Diceros bicornis minor: one gene and its partner. The protein of the gene in region 1 purifies or fractionates together with the protein of each later gene. This does not show direct contact. Links are inferred from orthologs where the notes say so. Each region holds a gene or a part of one and is shown in the gene's direction. Other genes may lie near its edges.

Region 1 (10,231 bases):
ACATTAAGGTTTGGGCAGCTTAGGGATCGTTCTAGTCCTCTAGGATGGAACAAATGAATAGAGTGAAGTAGTCAGTTGTCATTACTTTTCCCTGACAGCCATGCTGTTTCCCCACAACATCTCTACAATTAGGCCTAGAGTGAGCTGAAGCTTTCTGAAGGGCAAAGAGGTCCAGGACATGCCTGTATTGTGCTTTTGAGTCTTTTGGGAGTCAGGACACCTGGCTCACCTGCTCTGCCCTACACCCGAGCCCCGCCTGTTCCACCAACTCCTAGTCGTTATATACAAATTCCACTTGCCAATGATTTCTGTTGTGCGTATTATTGTGTATTTCCATGTACATCATCAGTCTTGGTACTGATTTCATCTCTCTATATACAGGAATTCAATAAAAGTTCTGATCTAGGATAAGCCACTGAAATGGTCTTTGATACTCAGTTTCTTCCTGGAAGTTTTATTTTTCTTTATCTAAGTCTTAGGAACACTGTGAATTCATTCCTTTATCCATACATATGGTTTCTTAATCTTTTAGGAGTCATTGACCCCTTTGGGAAGTTGATGGTGGATCCTCTCTCTGGAAAAATGCACTATATTTTGCATACACATCTGAGGGTTCATAGACCACTGAGAGGACATCATAGTTATCCCCCAGGTTATGAGCCCCTGCATTAAATATTTTAGTGCCTCCTGTGCTCTAGATGGTAAGGAAAAAAGGATGAGAGTGTAGAGTGTAGAGGAACACAACTTGGTAAGACTAGAGCAGTCAACACTTACAACCCAGGTGATAGGTGCTAAGAGAAGGGCAGTAGAGGGTACTGTGGGAACCCAGAATAGAGGAATTTAATCCAGACTGGGAATTAAGGAAAGATTCCTGGAAGAAGTGACATCTGCACTGAGAAATCCAACAAGCAGGACAAAGCAAGGTCAAGTAGAAGAATAGGGAAGAACTTTCCAGACAGAGGGAACAGTGTCCAGAAGGGAAAGAGCATGGCAAGTTCATGGAACACAAAACCGTTCAGAGCAGCTGTGCTCATCATCTGTCTGCTAGCTCTCGGCTCCACTCCTGCTTTTCTCTGTACTGCAGGGGCTGAGTCAGCAAATGACACTTCCCATATCCCTCTGCCAACTGGCTTCTGGCGAGGATCTGCCGATGGAAATCACCGGTGGGAGACTGGAGAAGCCATGTTCTCGGGCTGTTGGTAGCGTCTCCAGTCCTGGCAGCAGTAGCAGCCAGTGAGCGGGGTCTCCTGGGATCCAGCAGCAGTAGCGGCAGTGGCTGCAGTAGTGGCAGTAATGGCAGTGGGTCAGCCTGAGCAGCGCAGCAGTCCTCAGCGTTGGGAAACACCATTTCCCCTCCTGCTCCAGCCTAGAGTTCCAGGCAGTTCCTAACTTCTGGGTAACCTTGTCTTTTTTGCCCCTCCAGCCCTTTCAAGTTTTGAAACCCAGTTGCCTCTATTATATTGCTTCTATTTAAAATACCTAGAGTGGTTTCTGTTTTTCTGACTGGACACTGACTAATACAACAGTGAATCGAAAATATGGTGAGGGGTGGAGGAGGGTTGTGGTGACAGATTTGGTTGACTAGGTAATTGAGGGCCAGATCATTCAAGCTCATCTTAGGAAATGAACAGGTGTTTGGACTGTATCCGGAGAACAGTGGAGACCCATGAAAGATTTTAAAGACATGGTCAACTCAGTCACTATTGATTTTTTTTTGGTGAGGAAGATTGGCCGTGACCTAACATCTGTTGCCAATCTTCCTCTTTTTGCTGATGGAAGATTGTCCCTGAGCTAACATCTGTGCCCATCCTCCTCTATTTTGTATGTGGGATGCCGCCACAGCATGGCTTGATGAGTGCTGTAGGTCTGCGGCCGGAATCCAAACCCGTGAACTCCTGGCTGCCGAAGTGGAGCATGTGAACTTAACCACTATGCCACTGGGCCGGCCCACTCTTTTGATTTGTATGAAGATCACTTGGGCTGTAATACAGAGAACAGGTTTGAGATCGCTAAACTGAAGGCCAAGTGTCCCATGAGGAAGCTTCTGCAATTATCTGGGAGAGAATCCAATGGTTGTCTACACTAGGGTGGTGGCAGTGAGGTTGAAGAGAAGGGAGTGGAAGGAGTTTTATGAGGTGGAAAGGCTAGAATGTAATGGAGTGTTATGGCAGATCAAGGATGGCTACAAATTCACTGACACTCTTCCTGTTGACAGGCAGGTCCTGCCTGAGAGCTCCTCCTTTTGCATTTGGGTGTGCTCTGTAACTGCTTTGACAAATAGGATATGGCAAAAGGGACACTGTTCCAGTTTCTGGGCCCAGACATTAAGAGACCTGCGGCTTCCATTTCTTGTTTCTTGGAACTTGTGCTCTTGGAATACAGCTACGATACTTTGAGAACTGCAAGCCACATGGAGAGGCCACACATACATAGCTGCTCTGGCTGACAACCCCTGCTAAGCTGCCCGCCGACAGCCAGCATCGGCTGTTAGCCATGTGAGTGCACCATCTTGGATGTCCAGTCCAGGTCAGCCTTCAGATGACCCCAGCCACTGATTACAGCTGTGTCACAGACCCAAGTAATTCCCACGCATCTGAGCCCCTTCAACCCACAGAACCATAAGAGGTAATAATACATTGTTGTTTTAAGCCGCTAGGTTTTGTTGTTGTTTTTTTTTTAAGCCACTAAGTTCTAGGGTTGTTTGTTACACAGCAAAAGAAAACAGGAATAGACGTGGAAGGAGAGAAGGAAGGCAGAATCAAGGATGATATCTAGAATTCTGGTTGGGCCCGGGGTGGAGCCAGTCACTGCTGAGATGGGGACTGGGAGCAGATGAACACTGGGGGGGGGGTGGGGGGGTGGGTAAATGATCTATCATAAACTAGGGAAATATGTATTTTTGGAAATTCATTAAATTTTTTCTAGATATCCTATTATGTTTTATCTTCAGCATTAGCTATCTAGGTTTTAAAAAGGTTTATATTTTATAGATCCCTATCTTGAAGACCCTCTAAAATATAATTGTAGTATCTCCCGCTATAAGTAAAGCTGCACTTCTCAAAAGTATCAAGAGGAACTAGTACCTATTTTATCACATTTAGTCCTTGTTGATTGAGGCATCAACTTCCAGGTCTCTCATTCATTCATCAAGTATCTACTCGCCATCTGGCAGGCGCTCAGCACTGCTCTGGGTGTTAGGGGCACAGCTGTGCACACGACAGATAATATCCCTGCCCTCATGGAGTTTACTCTCTGATTGGCAGGCAGACAAAAAACAAGTAAAGAAAATAATTACCAATTTGATAAAAAGCAATGAAAAAAAAAGTAATAGGCGGCGTGCTGATAGAGAATAAAGGTTGAGAGGAACCTACTTTAGATGAGCTAGTCAGGGAAGATTTTTTAGCTGAAACTAAGGAAGTGGAAAGAACTAGCCGTGAGAAGAAGTGCAGGAGGGGAAGTGAGGTTGACTGATGGCTATGGGACCAACAAGAGGCCCTTGGGTGGTTAAGAGCTTGACCAGATTCTAGGAACTGAAAGACTAGTGTGTTTGGAGTGCAGCGAGCAAGAAGCAAGATGAAGTGGGAGACAGATGAGAGGCTAGATTAAACCATACTTTTTAGGCCATATTAAAAGATTTGCATTTTATTCTAAATGCAAAAGAGGTGGAAGCATGAACATGATCTGATTCACATTTTAAGAAGACAATGGTCAGAACAGACAGGAGGGGGAACACGGGTTGAGAAGCTGTTGCAGTGGTTCGGGACAGAGGAAGTGGCCTGGGCTAAGGTTCTCTCTAAATTTCTTTTCCTTGGACTCAGGTTCTTCCTTTGTAAAGTGCAGGTGGAGGCTTAGTAGAAACAGATCAGCAAACAGTTATTCCCAAGTGCCCAGGTATAATAAGACTCCCACTGGACTCTTGCTTTATAGAAGGATTTGAAATATTTTCAAGATTCATGGTGTTTTCCGCTCCTCTACACCAACCACCTACTTCCTCCAAACCTGTTTCACTCTATCAGAACTGGCATCTGTGGCCTTTGATACACTGAACCAATTGGTGGCTTTCAAGCCAGGTCACCACAAACAGTATTTGTTGTCTACCAAGTTCCTTGGCAACTGGAATAGGTGGGGTGGAAGATCCAAGAGCTGACACAATTTTGCTTGGACTCACCCTGTTGAAGATTACTCCAGTTGGTTTTTTAGGTTTTTTTTGGTCCTTCTGCTGGGCCATGGGACTTGTACTGCCAACAAAACTAAATTTCAGTGTAAGGGATCAGACTGAGGAGCCTTATTAGCCTTAAATTCAGTTCCCTTATCCAATGCCTTTAAGTTTCTCAGTAACTCTATCTGAATATTGATGAAATATCCTTCACTTAAAACATAGTAACATAAATCAGCTGATAGGCTTAAAAGCCTCTTCAACATTCAGATGCTGATGACAATAAGAGAAAAAGGCTCTTTATTGTTATTACTGATTTTTTTTAAAAAGGGTCAGTGTTTCATGTCAGTTCAAATATATAGGTAACCTGTAAAAGCAGCCCCAGAGAGATCCCTTGCCCCACAATGAAAAGACAATGAGAAACAGGAAGTGGGCCCTCACCAGACACACCTTGATCTTGTACCTCTAGCCTCCAGATCCGTGAGAAATAATTGTTTATAAGCATATATGGAGTGACTCCTGATTACCTGGAGAGGAAGAGCAGGACCTTAAGGCATCATCTGTTTAGCCAACCAAAAATTCAGTTACACCACTGTTATATAATTTGTTCAGTAGTGTAGTCAACTTTGCTCTTGATTTTTGTCTACTTATAAAAATGCTTTTGGTCACTAATATATATAAATCCAATTAAGGCTGTATGTAAATTTAAACTGCTTTCTTCTCCCTCCCCCTCAAAAAGGTCTATTCTCCAATATAACATACTTTCTTAAACTCTCTTTATGGGGCAAAGAAACGTTGCAAAAAATGTTTTCTCATTCTTTCCTGAATCTGAATGATTTAAATATGAAGGAAGTTCTGTCTACCAAGATTCACTTTGAATAGCTCTTATCCAGCTATATTTGAAAGTAAAGCTTGAAGGAAATACCGACTCTTTTGTTGGCTGATTATGCAGACCTATCTCAGGGTGAAAATACAGGTTGTCAACGCCTTTAGGAAGATCGCTTGTCTAGAAGGCCTCGCTATAGGGTCTGCTGTGAGAACACAAGCCTCTGCTTACCCCTGTCTCTTCACCCAAAGCTGGAGATTCCAATGAGAATCCTAAAAAAAAGGTGTGTGTGGCGGGATGGAAGTAGGGGTAGAGGGGATGGAAGGCCAAGGTTCTTCTACACGCATGGCCTAAACCTATTCGTATACTAGTTCTATAGCTGGTCTAAGTGACAGCTCGCAGTAGGCGCAGACCTGCTTGCAAATCCAATCTGGCCTTCCCCTTTCTTTATACCAAGGGTTACTTTTATTTTTTTTTAATTTTTTCTAAGGGTTACTTTTAAAAAGGAAGTTTTTTTTTTTCTTCTGAATTTCCTAAGGGTGCACATGGGGCAACGCACAAGCAAGAATGACACAGGGCGGGAAGTGAGATAAAACGTATGTGATTTCTGAACTCCTTAAAATACGCTGGGTCCTTTTTCCTTCGGAAAAGGGAGGCAGGACAGAAAGAACAAAACAAGTTGCAAACGAGACCAGGCGCCGCAGGAGCGCCGGGGGGTCTGAGCCCGCCGTGGGCCGCAGCGGGAGTCGGGCCGCCGGACGTGGGCTCCAGCCCGGCGGGCGGAACCCGGGGCGGCCGCCCGCCTTCCCCGCGCCCGCCTAGAACCCCGCGCGGCCGGTTCCGGCGCACGTGGCCGCCGCAGGCTCAAAGTCCAAGGGCAGCGGCAGGGCGCGGGCCTGGGGCGCGCCCCGGCTCCTGCACGGCGGCGGCACTAACGAACCGGACAGCCGCTCTCCGGCCGAGGGCACGCCCCCTCCGGCCCTCCAGGGTCCGCACACGACCGCCTCCGCCTCCCACCACGGTGGCAGGAGGCCGGGCGGGGAACCGGAATCCACCGGCAGGCATCCTGCCCTTTTCTCGCGAGAGGTGGGAACGGAAGAAGGTTGGGCGGGCGACGGGACGTAGCCAATGAGAGCGCGGGAAGGGCGTGATCGACGGCCCTCCAGCGCCTCCTCTAGGCCCCGCCCCGGCTGCGGAGGCCCGGGTCGCCGCCCGCTCTCCCTCCCCTCCCCACCTTCCCTCCCCTCCGTGCCCCGCTCTTCTCTTCCCGTCTGAGGTGGCGGCCGGCCTCCGTCCTCTCCAGCTCCGTATACCTCTCCTCCCGGCTGCCCTCTTCCTCGGCCCGAGGCCGCCGGAGCGCTTCCCCGCCCCGCCAGGGTGGCCGCATAACCCCTGCCCCTAGAATCCTGCGCCGCCTCTGCGCTCCCGTCCTCGCCCTGCCCCGCCATGAATGAGGAGTACGACGTGATCGTGCTGGGCACCGGCCTGACGGTGAGCTCCGCGCGGCGGCGCGGCCGGGGGCCGGGGGCGGGCCGGGGGCCGGGGGGCGGGAGGCCGGGGCTCAGCCCCCTCCCCAGCCCCGTCGCTCCCGCCGCGGGAGGCGAGGCCCACCCCGCCAGACCGCGCGGAACGGCCTGCGCGCGTCGGCCCCGAGCCTCGGCCTGGCCGCGGGGGGCGTCCTCCGTCGAGGTTTCGGGGGCTGAACTTCGCGGGGGTCGGGAGCTGGAGTGGGCCTGCGCGGGGGCTCGCGGCCGCGCAGGGGCGGGTCGGCCGGTGGAGTGGGTCGTCTCTGAGTGCGGAAGGGGGCGCCAGGAGATGGAAGACGCGGTCCCGTGGGTGCCCTGATGGGTGGTCACGGCGAAATACAGGTGGGGGGAACAGCGGAGTGTCGCTGTGCTGCAGAAGGCACCGTAGAAGCCCGGATCGGGGTGTTGATGCCCCTCCACCTCCCTCACGGGTGGATGGCCTCTCCGGATTGGAAACGGAAAAGCGCCAGGCAGAGTGGGGGAGGGTGGAAGCCACTCACAGTTGCATTTCCTGCTTAGCCTGCAGCCACTACTACCACTCAGCTCTGGCTGCCAGAACGAGGCGCAAGGCTTTGTGACAAGTCTTTGGATAATCACTGTTTTGTAATTGTCAGAGTTCAGTTAACTTAAGTTTTTGGAGAAAAGTAGTTTTCCTATCCCCACTCCAGTTGAGAAGCATTGTCCATTCCTTGTAACCACCCTCCTATCCCACTTAACGGAGCATCTGTAGAATTGGAAATGAGTTTTCTCAAAACTTGTCTATCAAACCCTTTCTCACCTGACTTTTGCCACGTTTTCCTTTTGTTTGGTCTGTTCCCTGACTCCATTGTCTCTTCTGGATGCTTTCCCTTAAGACATGGGTTGGTGATGGATTGCCAGAGGCCAAGTTCTCCACTACTATCCTCTTCAGGGAGTTAGGAGATCAATCAGTACCAACATAAAAAATGCAGTTGTCATGTGAATGCAAGGTGTTGCTAATACCATGGCAAACTTAATTTCCTGGGTATCTGTCTGTCTAGAGACCTTTAGATAATCTGCAAATAATGCAGGCAGGTGTTGTATCTTGTAGTACTTCTTTTTGTCCTTTTTTAAGAAAATGAATACTATTCATCTTGCAAAAGGATTCCATTTGAAGAGAAGACCATTTTCATTATTAGAATTTTTTGGAAATTTGAAATTCTGACTTTGGGCTGCTTTGTCTTAAGATGAACGCTGATGTAAATATTGTGTATCCTGTATAATCTGATCCCAAAGTTCTGGGTCATTTAATGTAAATCGCTGCTTCAGGGTTGTTGAAATGCACTGTAATCTCTCAGGATCAAATTAATATTTTTTTCAGGTAACACTCCAAAATAACTATTTTAGATTTCTCTAGACAAGAGAAAACGTTTTAACTTTAATTTGGCTAATTTTTTAGGAAAAGGTTGTTAGGAACTAGAATGGCACTTTTCTGGCCTGTCATTTTTCTGTTTATAGTGATTTATGGTGATTGTTGGAGAATACTCATTTCTGAATGCTTCATTATATTTGACCGGTCCAGAGATAGACATGTGCCTGCCTAGGAAATAGTACCAAATAGATGAGATTACTTACCTAGAAAGCTATTTAGTCATTTTGAATGTGAGATATTGGGTTGAATTTCCTTTTTGGTGGTGATTTGGAAGACTGTTGGATGCCTAAATGAATTGGCCTACCCACTGCAGGGTTGTCTTTTTAGTTTTTAAAATGCCTAATTGGGATTCTGAGCTGAGCTTAGTTTGTGATGGATTTTGCTCACTGGAATGGGCACTGTTGCTGCCCGCATGTTGTAAGAGCCAGTGAGTTCCACTGTTTTTCTACGGTTAGTGCTGGTCTTTCAGATTTGCTCTTGGTTAGGTCAGTTGAGCGTGGACAAATGAGTGCAAATCCATCATCACGCAGGTTTCTACCTGCCTAGTTCAGAAGCATCACATTGTAGCAAAGACAGCACAGTCTTGTATAACAACCAAGTTCAGATAATGCACTTTATTTAAATTTTCATTAGGATTAATTAATTGGATTCATTTGGATTTTTGGTGAGTGGTAGACGCATACCTAACTAGAAATCAGACCAATTTTTGCTATCATATTATAGCTGTGATAACTTTAATACCTATGAGCCTTCATAGATTGTTTTGTGACATATTTTTTGAGAATTATATCAATTCAGAGCAATCACATTATTACCATCATTGATAGGAATAGTGGTGACGGGATGATTTTGATAATGATGAATCTTGTACCCTCATTTTTAGTGACACAAGGACTTTGATTACTTAAAGTTAAATGAAGAGACCACCAAAGTTTAAAACCCTCAAGTTAGAATTAACTTTGAGTATTTAGAGTGAACATATTTAATTTTCCTAGTTTTTTTTTTTTTTTTTTTTTTATGAGGAAGATCCGCCCTGGGCTAACGTCTGCCAATCCTCCTCTTTTTGCTGAGGAAGACTGGCCCTGGGCTAACATCCATGCCCATCTTCCTCCACTTTATATGGGACACCGCCACAGCATGGCTTGCCAAGTGGTGCATGGGTGCGCGCCTGGGATCCGAACCTGTGAACCCTGGGCCGCCGCAGCGGAGCGCGCGCACTTAACTGCTTGCACCACCCTGCTGGCCCCTAATTTTCTTAGTTTTTGGTTTATAAATATATAGTGCCTGAGATTTAAGAACCTGAAAACAGGCGTATGCTATCAGTTATGGGTACCAAATATTATGTGATGCCAGTGTGTCAAGTACTTTAGTACGATTAACTTGTTACTTTTAAAATAAAGTGGAAGGATGTGTTGGAGTTTCTCTGTGTTGCCTAGTGTTGTCCTTGTTTGCATTGATAGTTACATCTAAAATAAGGTCAGGTTAATCCACAAATATTGATAGTAACTTTAATAAAGAAGATTTGGTAAAAACTAGAGCAAAATCTTCTTTCTCTGGGAGAAATAGGATATTCCATATAATTGAATTTTCTAAGCAATTGAGGGTTATCGCTTTAAAGAACCAAAACTTTTAATTTAATTTTATTTATTTTTTCCCCCAAAGCCCCAGTAGATAGTTGTATGTCACAGCTGCACATCTTTCTAGTTGCTGTATGTGGGACGCAGCCTCAGCATGGCTGGAGAAGCGGTGCGTCGGTGTGCGCCCGGGATGGGAACCCGGGCTGCCAGTAGCGGAGCACGCGCACTTAACCGCTAAGCCACGGGGCCTGCCCTAGAACCAAAACTTTTAGATAAGAGCCTTTCCAAATGATACCACAACTTTAACAAACTAAGGAACATAATTAATTAACTTGATAACTAAAGATTTCGCATCATGAGGGTTAATTATTGTGTTATGCTGTATCGTGAAGCCATTGGGACCTGGTGAGCTTTGTAGGAACTTTGGCCCGCCTTACTAAATAGTCTCAGATTGCTCAGCCTTGTGAGTTCTACAGTCTGCTTTTCATTCCACCCCGGCTCGCTTACTTTGCTATTAGGCTGGCGACTTTTACTTTCTTTCAGCATGTATAGACAGCCTCTGAGCACCCAATTTTCTACTTTTTTTTTTTTTTTTGTGGGGAAGATCAGCCCTGAGCTAACATCCATGCTAATCCTCCTCTTTTTGCTGAGGAAGACCGTCTCTGAGCTAACATCTGTTGCCAATCCTCCTCCTTTTTTTCCCCCAAAGCCGCAGTAGATGGTTGTATGTCATAGTTGCACATCCTTCTAGTTGCT
Region 2 (10,052 bases), on another chromosome or scaffold:
TGCCTGGAATTTAAACAGCCATTCCCAGAAACTCTAAAGGAAAGATGGGTTACAGGATTATATTTTTCTACCAAAGGCTAATTGACTGGCACTAGGAGGAAAATGTATTAAGTCACCCATAACTAGGATTAATATCTTATGTTTGTGTAGCACTTCATAAGTTCTAAAGCACTTCCCATTTGTTCCTCATAATAACCCCTATACCACACATTGGTATTGTTATCCCCATTTGACAGATGGGGAAACTGAGGCCTAGAAAGGTTAAATGGCTTACTTTGGTGGCAAAACTGGGGCTTAAATCCAGGTGTTCTGACTCTAGGATTGTCAGATTTATTAGCAAATTAAAATTAAATTTAGCAAATTAAAATACAGAACACCCAGTTAAATCTGAAAGGGAATGAATAAATTTTTGATATATCATGCAATATTTTGGGAAATACTTATGCTAAAAACTTCTCTCTTGTTTATCTGAAATTCAAATTTGTATTTTATCTTGCAACCCTATCCAAATCCCTGATTTGGTACTTGATCTCTATTATTCTATGGTACTCTGCTATAATTAAAATGCAAAGTACCTTCTCTGCTATGACTTTAATTCTGACAGTTGGGAGTTTAGAAACCTTTTTTTTTTTTTTTAATAAAGATGCTTATTAATTTATTTTTCCCCACTCTTAATCCTCACCAGAAAAACTTGCCCAGGCCAAAGAAGAGAACGTGGGCTTACATCAGACACTGGATCAGACACTAAATGAACTTAACTGTATATAACCAAGACAGAAGAGTCTTATTCCAACAGAAACTCCAGAGCTCCGTGTCTTTCTCTTCTCTTGTAAAAAGTTTGTTATTGCATCTTTGCTTTGCTGGAAATGTCAAGCAAATTATGAATACATGACCAAATATTTTGTATCAGAGAAGCTTTGAGCACCACTTAAATCTAATTCCTTCCTTTTTTTCAAATGGCACCAGCTTTTTCAGCTCCATTTTTATCCTTAAGTTGCATTTATTCCTAAGGTAGGCAGGGTATTTCGTATTGAGCATACTCTTAAGACTGAGGGCATTTGGTTCCTGGGAGAATAGACAACCCCACACTTTCAGAACACAGACTCCAATATCTAGTCATGGGTCAATTTAAAAGGCTGAAGGATGTAACCTTCTGTACCAGCATTGGTCACACTACAGGAAGCAAGGGACCATCACATTAAAATGGGTGGGGAGTTTCCATCCAGAGCAAAAACAAAAAAACCGGGGGGGGGCTATTGTGGGAAGTCATAAAGCACAGATAGATTAACCTAATCATCTTCTTTTCCACACTCCACTGTGCAGAACAAACATCCTCTGAGCAGTCAGCACGAGAATGCTCAGGAAATGGTCATAATTACCCCAGTATTTTCTGGATAGATCTTTGATGTTATGCTGTTTTATGTGTTTTATTCTAAAGTTGTTCTGAGGAGCAGATGTCTAACTCCAATAATGACCCATGCTTGTCTGCTCTGATATGAGGCCATCCACTCAGCAGGAATGAATATGGTAGAATTCAGTCCTATTCAGAGAAGCCATATCAAAAAGACTGCTAGCCATCAATAATTGAGCAAGAGTGTTTTTCTGTTAACAAATACTGGGCAGAAGTAGAGAATAAAAAAAAACTGGCCTAACTTCATCTCCTCTATACTTAAGGGAATGACAAATTGAAGATTTACTTATCTAGGACTTTAATTCCTTCTTTAGGACCAAGTTAATAAAAGACCAAGAAGCTCCTGATTAAACTGGATATGGAGTATTTTGTAGACAGGGGTGCACATTTTGGCTTTGTTATATTTCTGCTTTCTCAGTTAACATCTCAGAGCTGAAACATTCCACATTCCCCAGCAATGTGGGGGCCAACTCAAGTTTACAATTCTGACTAAAAATCACCCTGCTTCTAGCTTATCCAAATCCTCTGCCCCTCACTCCTATTTATTAAGCATCACACTACCCAGGAGGTACACTAGCAAACTGTGCAACTGAATAAAACCCACACTTTTCATTTAGATTCTTGCAACTGTATCATATGTAATAGTATCACTTTTTCTACATTTTGGTCAAATAAATTTTTACATAAACTACAATTTGTGTGAATTTTGGAGTGTGGGGACATACACACCATTTTGGTTCAATGAATGTTAATGGGATGGAAAGGACAGATAACTGCCAAGAACTTAGCAAATGTTATTTATTTGCTTTATACCATGACTTCAAGATATAAGGATTATGATCTCTATGTTACAGGTGAGAGCACTTTGTCTCAGTAACTCAAAAGCTCCTGTTATCCCCAATCTTGCCTGGGCCAGGCTGTGCAGAGTAAGATTTTAATAGATGAGACAGGGGCAGGAAAGATGGTCCCTGTTGAGTCCATAAAGCACAAGGCCTGCCTGGGTAAGGTCTTCTGTATGTTGCATATAAAAAGGAAAGCAGTAGGAAAGCTGAAAGGTAGGCTGCATCTATAATGATGCGGGCCTGAACTTGACTGCGTTAGAAGTGGAGAGCCACTGAAGACTAATCAATAAATCAAAGAAATACATTAGGAAAATCCACTTAGCATTTTCAGGAAGGACTAGAGTAGGGGCAGACTAGAGGTTGGAAGACCAGTTAGGAAGATGTTTCAATTAATCAGGATAGTGCTTGCCATAGAATAAGAAGGAAGAAGTGATCTGAAGGAAGTAATCTTAAAACTTAGCTGACTGGATGGCAGGGAACTTAAAGAAGCAAGTGTCAAAGCGGACTGCAGTTTCACTACCTGAATTGCTTTGATATTTGCCTCAGGATCTGATCTTGGGGAAGGGGGACAGGGAATCAAAAAGAAACGAAAGCCTTTAAAACATTAGTGTAGTATGCAAGCAATTTTTTGTTACCAACTACAATTAAAAACATTTCCTTCATATTTCCTTCATACTCAACACTTGGCTGACACTGTTGAGCTGGCAGATGCAGGGAACGTCAATGAATAAGGTGTAACCCCTCCCGAGTGCCCTACCATGACTAGATTGAAGTTCCTTCTCTCCCTCCTCCGCACCCCCCGGACGGTAGTCTAATCTCAGGATACCGTTTGTCACCCTCGTGCCTCACTCCTTAACGTGTGCTCCGTGCCTGTTGACCTGGCCTCGGCTCTTGCGGCGTTCGCAACGCCGTGAGGTGAGGTGGAGCGCAGCGGGCGGCGAGCGCCCGGTGGTGCGGACTTGGTGCTGCCACCAGGCCGCGGATGGGTCCTGGGTGCGTGTTTTAGAACGGCCACACTGCAGGGTGGAATCTGGATTAAAGAATGATCCGGATTAGGGAGACCAGTGGAGAGAGGCGACCACTGATGGGAAACGGAAATACAAGACCCGGATTCGAGAGCTATTCAGAACCTCCTTCAGACCCAGGATGTGAGGGACGAAAGGAAGCGTCCAGGACGACTCAGGATTCGCTCCGAAGCTACCTCAGGACAAGCTGGAGCGCGCAGGAGAGGACAAGTTCCGTCGCGGACATGCTGACAAACCCAAAGGCAGACGCCCAGAGGGCAGGGGGTGACGAGGCTGCGTCGCGTCCTCCGGGGACCGGCACTCACAGCGAGACGCCGAAGCCACGCCGAGAGCGGGCACGCACGTCCGCACAGCCCAGCAGAGGAGGGCCGCCAGCTAGGCACGAGCGGAGAGCCCGACCGCCTCGGCGGCACCTGAGGAGCAGCCCCAGGCCAGGGGGCGGGGAAGCCGGCCGGTAAGACGCGAGGGCACCAGCAGAGAGGGTGCCGGCCGCGCGGCCCGCAGTCCGAGGACCACCGGAGCCGGAGGGGCGCAAGGGGCACGGCGGCGGCCGGGCCGTCCTGCGGACACCCCCGTGACCCACGGCGGCGCGGCCACAGCCCATCCCCGAGAAGCGGGAAGCCGTGGTGGTCGAGCCCGCGGCCGCCGGCTCGTCGGCCTGAGTTCAGAAGCCGGCTTCCCCCTTGCGGGGCCGGGGAAGGCCCGCGCCTGCCGGCCCGGCTTTCTCCCCACACACCCGGGCGGCACCTCCCGCCTCGGGGCCGGGCGCGGAGGAAACGCCCGCGCGTGCGCTGTGAGGGCGACAGCGCCGGCGGCCCGGAGCCGACGCTCACAAGCGCGACCTGACTCCCTCGCGGGCTCCCAGCCCCGGCCCTCAGGCGGCTGACCGGGCGGCGGCGGGCGAGGCCCGGGAGACAGGAGGCCGAGAGAGGCCCGGACAGCCGCTAATGCAGTCAAGGCGCGTCCTTAGGAGCCCTGCGCACCTCCGGGCGCAGCTCGCGGCGGTGAGGCCGCTCAGGCGGTGGAGGCCCGGCTATCTCGGAGTAGGTCGCCTGGCCAGCGCCGAAATGGCAGAGCACGTCTCGGGGAGTCCTCGCTTCGACTCTGACGAGCGTCCGTACGTTCCTCTGCTCTTTGGCTCCCAGCGGCCTGACGCGGAGGGCCGCAAAGCACAGATTACAGCCGCCGTCTCTTCCCGCGCTCGTCCCGTCGCCTACTGAGACTGCGCGGGCCGTGAGGGCGGGAGCCAGAGACCCATGCGCGTGCGCCCTCTGCTGGCGCCTAACGATCTCCTCAGCGCGCGTGCGCACGCGCCCCAGGCCCCGCCCGTGGGCTGCGAGCGCGCGGAGCCGTTGGCGACGCACCCCCCACCCCTCCCGTCAGGGGACGGGGCGGGGCCGCCCAGAGTCCGGGAGGCGGGGACACGGGGGTGCCACGGCCCCGCCCTGATCCCCATTTGAAGCCCCTCGACTCGTCACCGCTGGCCAATCGCAGCCCGCCCTGTACCGAGCGCCAGCCAATGAGCGGCGTGCTCGGGCCGCTTCCGGCCCCGCGCCCCAGTCGCCCCTTCCCCAGCTCTGCTGGCGACGGGCGGGGCGCGGGGGCGGGCGTCAGCCGCAGTGACGCGCGACGGGCCGGGAGCCAATGGGGGGCGGGCTCCGCGCTGATGGACGGGGCCAGCGGCCAGTGGCCAGGCACTGGCCGCACTTCCCGTTGGGGAGAGAGTGTAATATGGCGAAGACCTACGATTACCTCTTCAAGCTGCTGCTGATCGGGGACTCGGGGGTGGGGAAGACCTGTGTCCTGTTCCGCTTCTCCGAGGACGCCTTCAACTCCACCTTCATCTCCACCATAGGTAGCGGGGCCGGCGAGCGGCCGGGCGCGCCCCTGACGGGCTGGGGTTGAGGGAGCGGCCGGGCCGGACTGACTGAGGGCTCTGAGAGGGTCGAGGGGGCCGGCGGGGAGAAGAGTGGCGCCTCCACCGCCGTTCGGGGGTTCCCGGGCCATGGGGAGGGCCGGGTGTCCATTTAGAGAGGCTGAGGCCTCGACCCCCAGCCCGCTTGTCTGGGAGCGTATGTCCTGGGCTGGGGTCTTGGCGCCCGTCATCTCCTGTCGTCGCAGAGGCCCTCGAAGCGGTTCTTTGGGGTCTTAACAGAAGTGGAAACTGAGGCGCGGAGAGTTGGCCATGGGAAAAGGACCGTGACATCTGACTTTGTCGAGCATTTATTGTCTGCATATCACACTCTCCAGGCCTCTGTGTTAGCTGCTGTTAGGAGCCCATCTCACGGAGGAGGAGTTTGAGGCTCGGGGAGGGCACGGGACTCGCCCAAGGTCACACAGTGTGCAGGTGACAAGGATGAGATTTGAACCCAGGTGTGTCTGACCCCAAAACTCAAGGTTCAACCATCCCAGAGAGATGCGAGCACTCACCCCCAGGTCAAGCACAGCTGATCCCCCTCGGAGCCAGGACTCCAACCTAGACTTCCCCTGCTCTTTCCTCTGGAATATTCAGGAGTTGAGCCCCTCCCCCTGACTCTGTTTCCCCTGTGGCTGAATTTCCTCTAGAAGGAATGGTGAGAGGGAGTCCTGACCCTTTTCCTGCCCAGCCTTCTGACCCAGTCAAGGTGACAGCAATGGCAAGTGACAGCTGCCTGCCCGTCATCCCCAAGGAGATGCCGGATTAAAGCTTCAGGGAGAAACTAAAATCAGCCAGTGCCACAGACAACCCTGACTTCCCTATCTCGAGGCCCAGGACACCGGTTGTCACTTTGCAGAACAGCCTTTCCCGCAGGGCCAGCCCACATTGTGGTTGAACAGAATTGGCTTACCACTCCTTGGTTCTGACGTCCACAAAAGTGGAGCTGACTTCGCCCCCTGCCACAAAAACTGCCACTGCCTACTTGGAAAGGTTTGATCTGGGGGTAACATCAGTCACAGAGTGGCCTGTGAGCCTCACTCTGGAGTGGGGAAGTGAGACAATGGTCGCCAAGCTCAGGAGTTGATCTCAAATGGAGAAAACCTAGGGAAGGGGCTTTGCTTTACCCCCGTGTAACTTGAACCCAATCGCCTTATCTCCCTGAACCCCACGATGAGCTGCTGATTCCGTCTTTGCTCTCCTCCGGAAGCGCACTTTGCAAAACACTTAGGTGCCAAATGCTGAGAAAATTAGACTGGAAATCATCATGCCTGATTTCCAGCCACCACTTGCCGTTGAACAAGCACTTGACTTCTCTGAGCCCTGTTTCTTTGGTTTAAGTGTGGTGCTTTCTGCCTTGACCAGTGCTCTGGATGGTTGAGGATCAGAACTGTACAATGACTAGGGGCTTTGTCACCACTGCCAGAGGCTGTCTAGAGGAAGCAGAATGGCTCCTGTAATGACAGCAGCCCTCCCCTGGGCACAGGTGTTTCAAATTCCTCCCCTTCCCCCACTCCAAGGTCAAACTTTGGGATAACCTTTGCATCCCCACCAGTCAAGAAGATGTTAACTCCTGGCAGGTTGTGGCTCTCTCCCAACCCAGACCTCAGTTTCCCGGCGTCGGAAATTTCTTGCTCAGCAAGAGCATTAGTGAGATCAATTTGGGAGTTGGGGTTTTTCTTTGGTTTCAAATTCTTGACCAGAAAACCCAGTCTAGCGCTTTAGGGCTCCAAGGAAGCTGGCTTCCATTTGCAGGCGAAGACGTGACTTGGGCGAGGTCGCATAGGGAGGTGAAGGTGAACTTGACCCAGGATTCTTCTCATTAGATATGTAGCTTCCTGCAGGCCTCTGTCTTCTAGGAAAGTTTAAATCACTCAGACCTTGAAGTTATGGCCTCATAATTCTTAGGCCCCATAAAATTTATACTTCCTAATTAAATTTGGTGTGTTAATATAACCCAGGAGGAGGATAGGGCAGAGTGATGCCGTGGAGCTCTGCCAATTGAACAGTACTTCTTGATTTCGTATGTCTCTGTGCATCTGTGACAGGAGGTGGGTAAAGAGACCACACTGGGCCGCTTAGTCCTGAAATACAACTTAATGCATAAAGGCGATTCTCTGTTGGCACTGAGTGTACCTCCAGGTTTTCTTTATAGATTTGGGATTAAGTGCCTGTTCATTTTCTGCCCAGGTTTCATTTTGCCAAAGCCTGTTCTCATAAGCTGCATTGATCATTAGTGGTGTGAACTTGGCCCTGTGGCTCCCTGGAATTGGTTCTGCCTAGCCTGGCTCTGCCCCCACTGCCCCTCAGGGCCTCATTTATTCATTCCTTAAGGAGATGGATGATGTAAACTGTGCGGCACCACGAAGACCCCGATGCACTTAATTCTTTCATTCAGCTGTCTTTCCCCAACGCCTCCTGCGAACCAGGCATCCGCCTCCGTGCGGGGGTTGCAGAGATGACTCGGATAAATCAGAGGGAAGCAGAAATGTAATGAGGTCTGTGCTCAAGGTGTGTGTGCAGGGCGATTGGCTTCTAGCAAATGTGTATTCAGCCCCTGCCCATGCTTAGTCATTGGAGATGCTGCCCAGAGTAAGAAGTGGGAGTCCCTGCCCTCGAGGAGCTTATTTCTAGTGGGCAGAATCCAAGTGCAGGCTTATGTTCCCTGTGGTCCCCAGGACAGCTCCTAGGTGGGCAGGGCTGGAATTAGCATCTCCATCATGGCCTGAGCCTCAAGTCAGAGATTGAGAACAAACTCCCCATGCCAAAGGCTAGGTTTGGCTATTTCCCCTCCACGCAGGCCATTCGCATCATTCCCCTCCACGCAGGCCATTCGCATCAGCAAGTTTTACTCTTGGGTTCATGGAGCAAAGAAACAAATATACGATGTCGGGGATAAGTGCATGAAGAAGAAAAAGCAAGTGAGGGGAGAGAGAATGCAGATGGTCAGGAAGGCTCCCCTGAGGAGGCAACTTGAACAGAGACCTGAGTGAAGGGAGTGGGGAGCCAGGTGGCCATGGAAAGAAAGAACATTCCAAGAGAGAAGAGAGAGCAAGCGTAAAAGCCCTGAGGCCAGAATGGGTTTGGGATCTTTAGGAATCAGCTATGAGGGGGGCATGAGCCATGGGTGCTGAGAGGTGACCAGGTTAGGCAGGACCTTGGAGCACACTGGCAACTATTTTCACTGTATTTGGGGGCCGAGGAGGCAGTGGGAAGCCACTGGAAGGTGTTTTGGGGTTTTTTGATAGTTATATTGAGATATAATTCACCTACCATACAACTCACCTACTTAAAGTGTACAATTTGGTATATTCACAGAGTTGTACAATTATCACCACAGTCAATTCTAGAACATTTTCATTATTCCAAAAAGAAACCCCAAACTCTGTAGTCACCCCGCCTGCCAATCTCCCCATTCCCTCCACAGCCCCTGGCAACCACTAATCTCCTTTCTGTCTCTCTGGATTTGCCTGTTCTAGACATTTCATATGAGTGGAATCATACAGTATGTGGTCTTTTGTGTCTGGTTTCTCTCACTGAGCACAATGTTTTTGAGGTTCATCCATGTTGTAGCGTGTGTCAGAGCTTCATTCCGTTTTATGGCTGAGTAATATTCCCTTGTATGGATATACCACATTTTGTTTAACCACATTTTGTTTATCTATTGGTCTGTTGGTGAACACACTGGAAGGTTTGGAGCAGGGGTTAGCTTTGTAACATGGTTGAATTTGTGTTTTTGAAAGCTGGGGAGGTGACTGAGGGGGCAACAGTGGGAGCCTGGAGAGCAGCCAAGGAGGCCAAGAGGTCGCCCTCATCCTGAGGAAAGGGAACTAAAGCCCGTGGGTGGGAGAGAAGGAGGGCAGGATCAGGAAGGCTTCTTGGGGGCTGACCTTCTAGCAGATCTTAAAGGAGAAGGGGAAGTTTGCCAGGCTGATGGGCGGGTGGAGTGGGGCCCCTGGCAGAGAAGGACCAGCATGTGTGAAAACTGGAGACCCATGTGTATCATAGTGCATTGAGGGGCCCAGTGCACCGTGTGCTTGGAGGGCCAGGTGCAGGGTGGCGGGAATCGTGGGTCTGTGACCTGCCAAGGGCTCTGTTGGGCCCACTCGGCAAGCTACCTGTGGGGGAGGGAAGAGAGCAAGGCTTTGGCACCTGAGCTGCTCAGGTTTGCCCAGCAGCTCTGCCAGCTGCCAGCTTCGCTCTGAGAAGCTCCTGTCCCCCTTGGAGCCTCAGCTTCCCCTTCCATGAGGGGAGCAAGTTCTGCAGCTGCCTCCACATTCGTTGTGGGGATTCCGAGATTCCACGCGCACATCACCGGGTAGGTGCTCCCTAAGCCGTGGCTGCTGTTCCCTGCACAGGTTGGCAGTGCCTGCCTCAGAGGCAGCTTGGGAAATGGGCTGACAGTAATGTGCCTCTTTTTTCTTTTCTTTAAGGAATTGACTTTAAAATTAGGACCATAGAGCTCGATGGCAAGAGAATTAAACTGCAGATATGGTAAGAGTCGCTGTCTTCATCAGCCCCTTCGCCTGGCAAGCACTTCAAGTCAGAAGCCCCTGGTGCCCCCTCCCCCTGCCCTGTGACCATGGCCTCCATCTCTTTGTGCCCAGCCAGACACATCAGGCTTTCTTCAGAAGCCCCAGGAGCTGTACTCTTCTGGTTGCTGGGGCCCAGAGTCTGTTCCAGCACCTTCTGGGGACATAGCTACAATCCCGCTTAGCTCAGCATTCTGATGTGGGCACAGCCTGGGCTTCAGAGCAGCCTGCCTCCATTGAACTCGGAGAGAGCCCTCTGTGGCTGGCGGAGGTGAAGGCTGCCAGGATGATGAGATGCCCCAGCCGGGCTTTGTTTCTGAGACTGTC

Evidence for each region.
Region 2: the proteins of GDI2 (region 1) and RAB8A purify together in Homo sapiens (co-immunoprecipitation; 5 studies listed by BioGRID and IntAct, with this or other methods). This does not show direct contact. The link is inferred for Diceros bicornis minor from reciprocal best matches to the Homo sapiens genes GDI2 and RAB8A.

What each region holds. Positions count from the first base shown.
Region 1 is NC_080775.1:7,007,186-7,017,416, reverse strand, and holds the start of GDI2 (rab GDP dissociation inhibitor beta), read left to right. Parts: upstream 1-6,214; 5' UTR 6,215-6,428; coding exon 6,429-6,473; intron 6,474-10,231. UniProt on the Homo sapiens protein: GDP-dissociation inhibitor preventing the GDP to GTP exchange of most Rab proteins. By keeping these small GTPases in their inactive GDP-bound form regulates intracellular membrane trafficking.
Region 2 is NC_080759.1:4,349,839-4,359,890, forward strand, and holds the start of RAB8A (ras-related protein Rab-8A), read left to right. Parts: upstream 1-4,974; 5' UTR 4,975-5,009; coding exon 5,010-5,133; intron 5,134-9,626; coding exon 9,627-9,687; intron 9,688-10,052. Other genes in the region: TPM4 (tropomyosin alpha-4 chain), read left to right, coding at 686-768. UniProt on the Homo sapiens protein: The small GTPases Rab are key regulators of intracellular membrane trafficking, from the formation of transport vesicles to their fusion with membranes.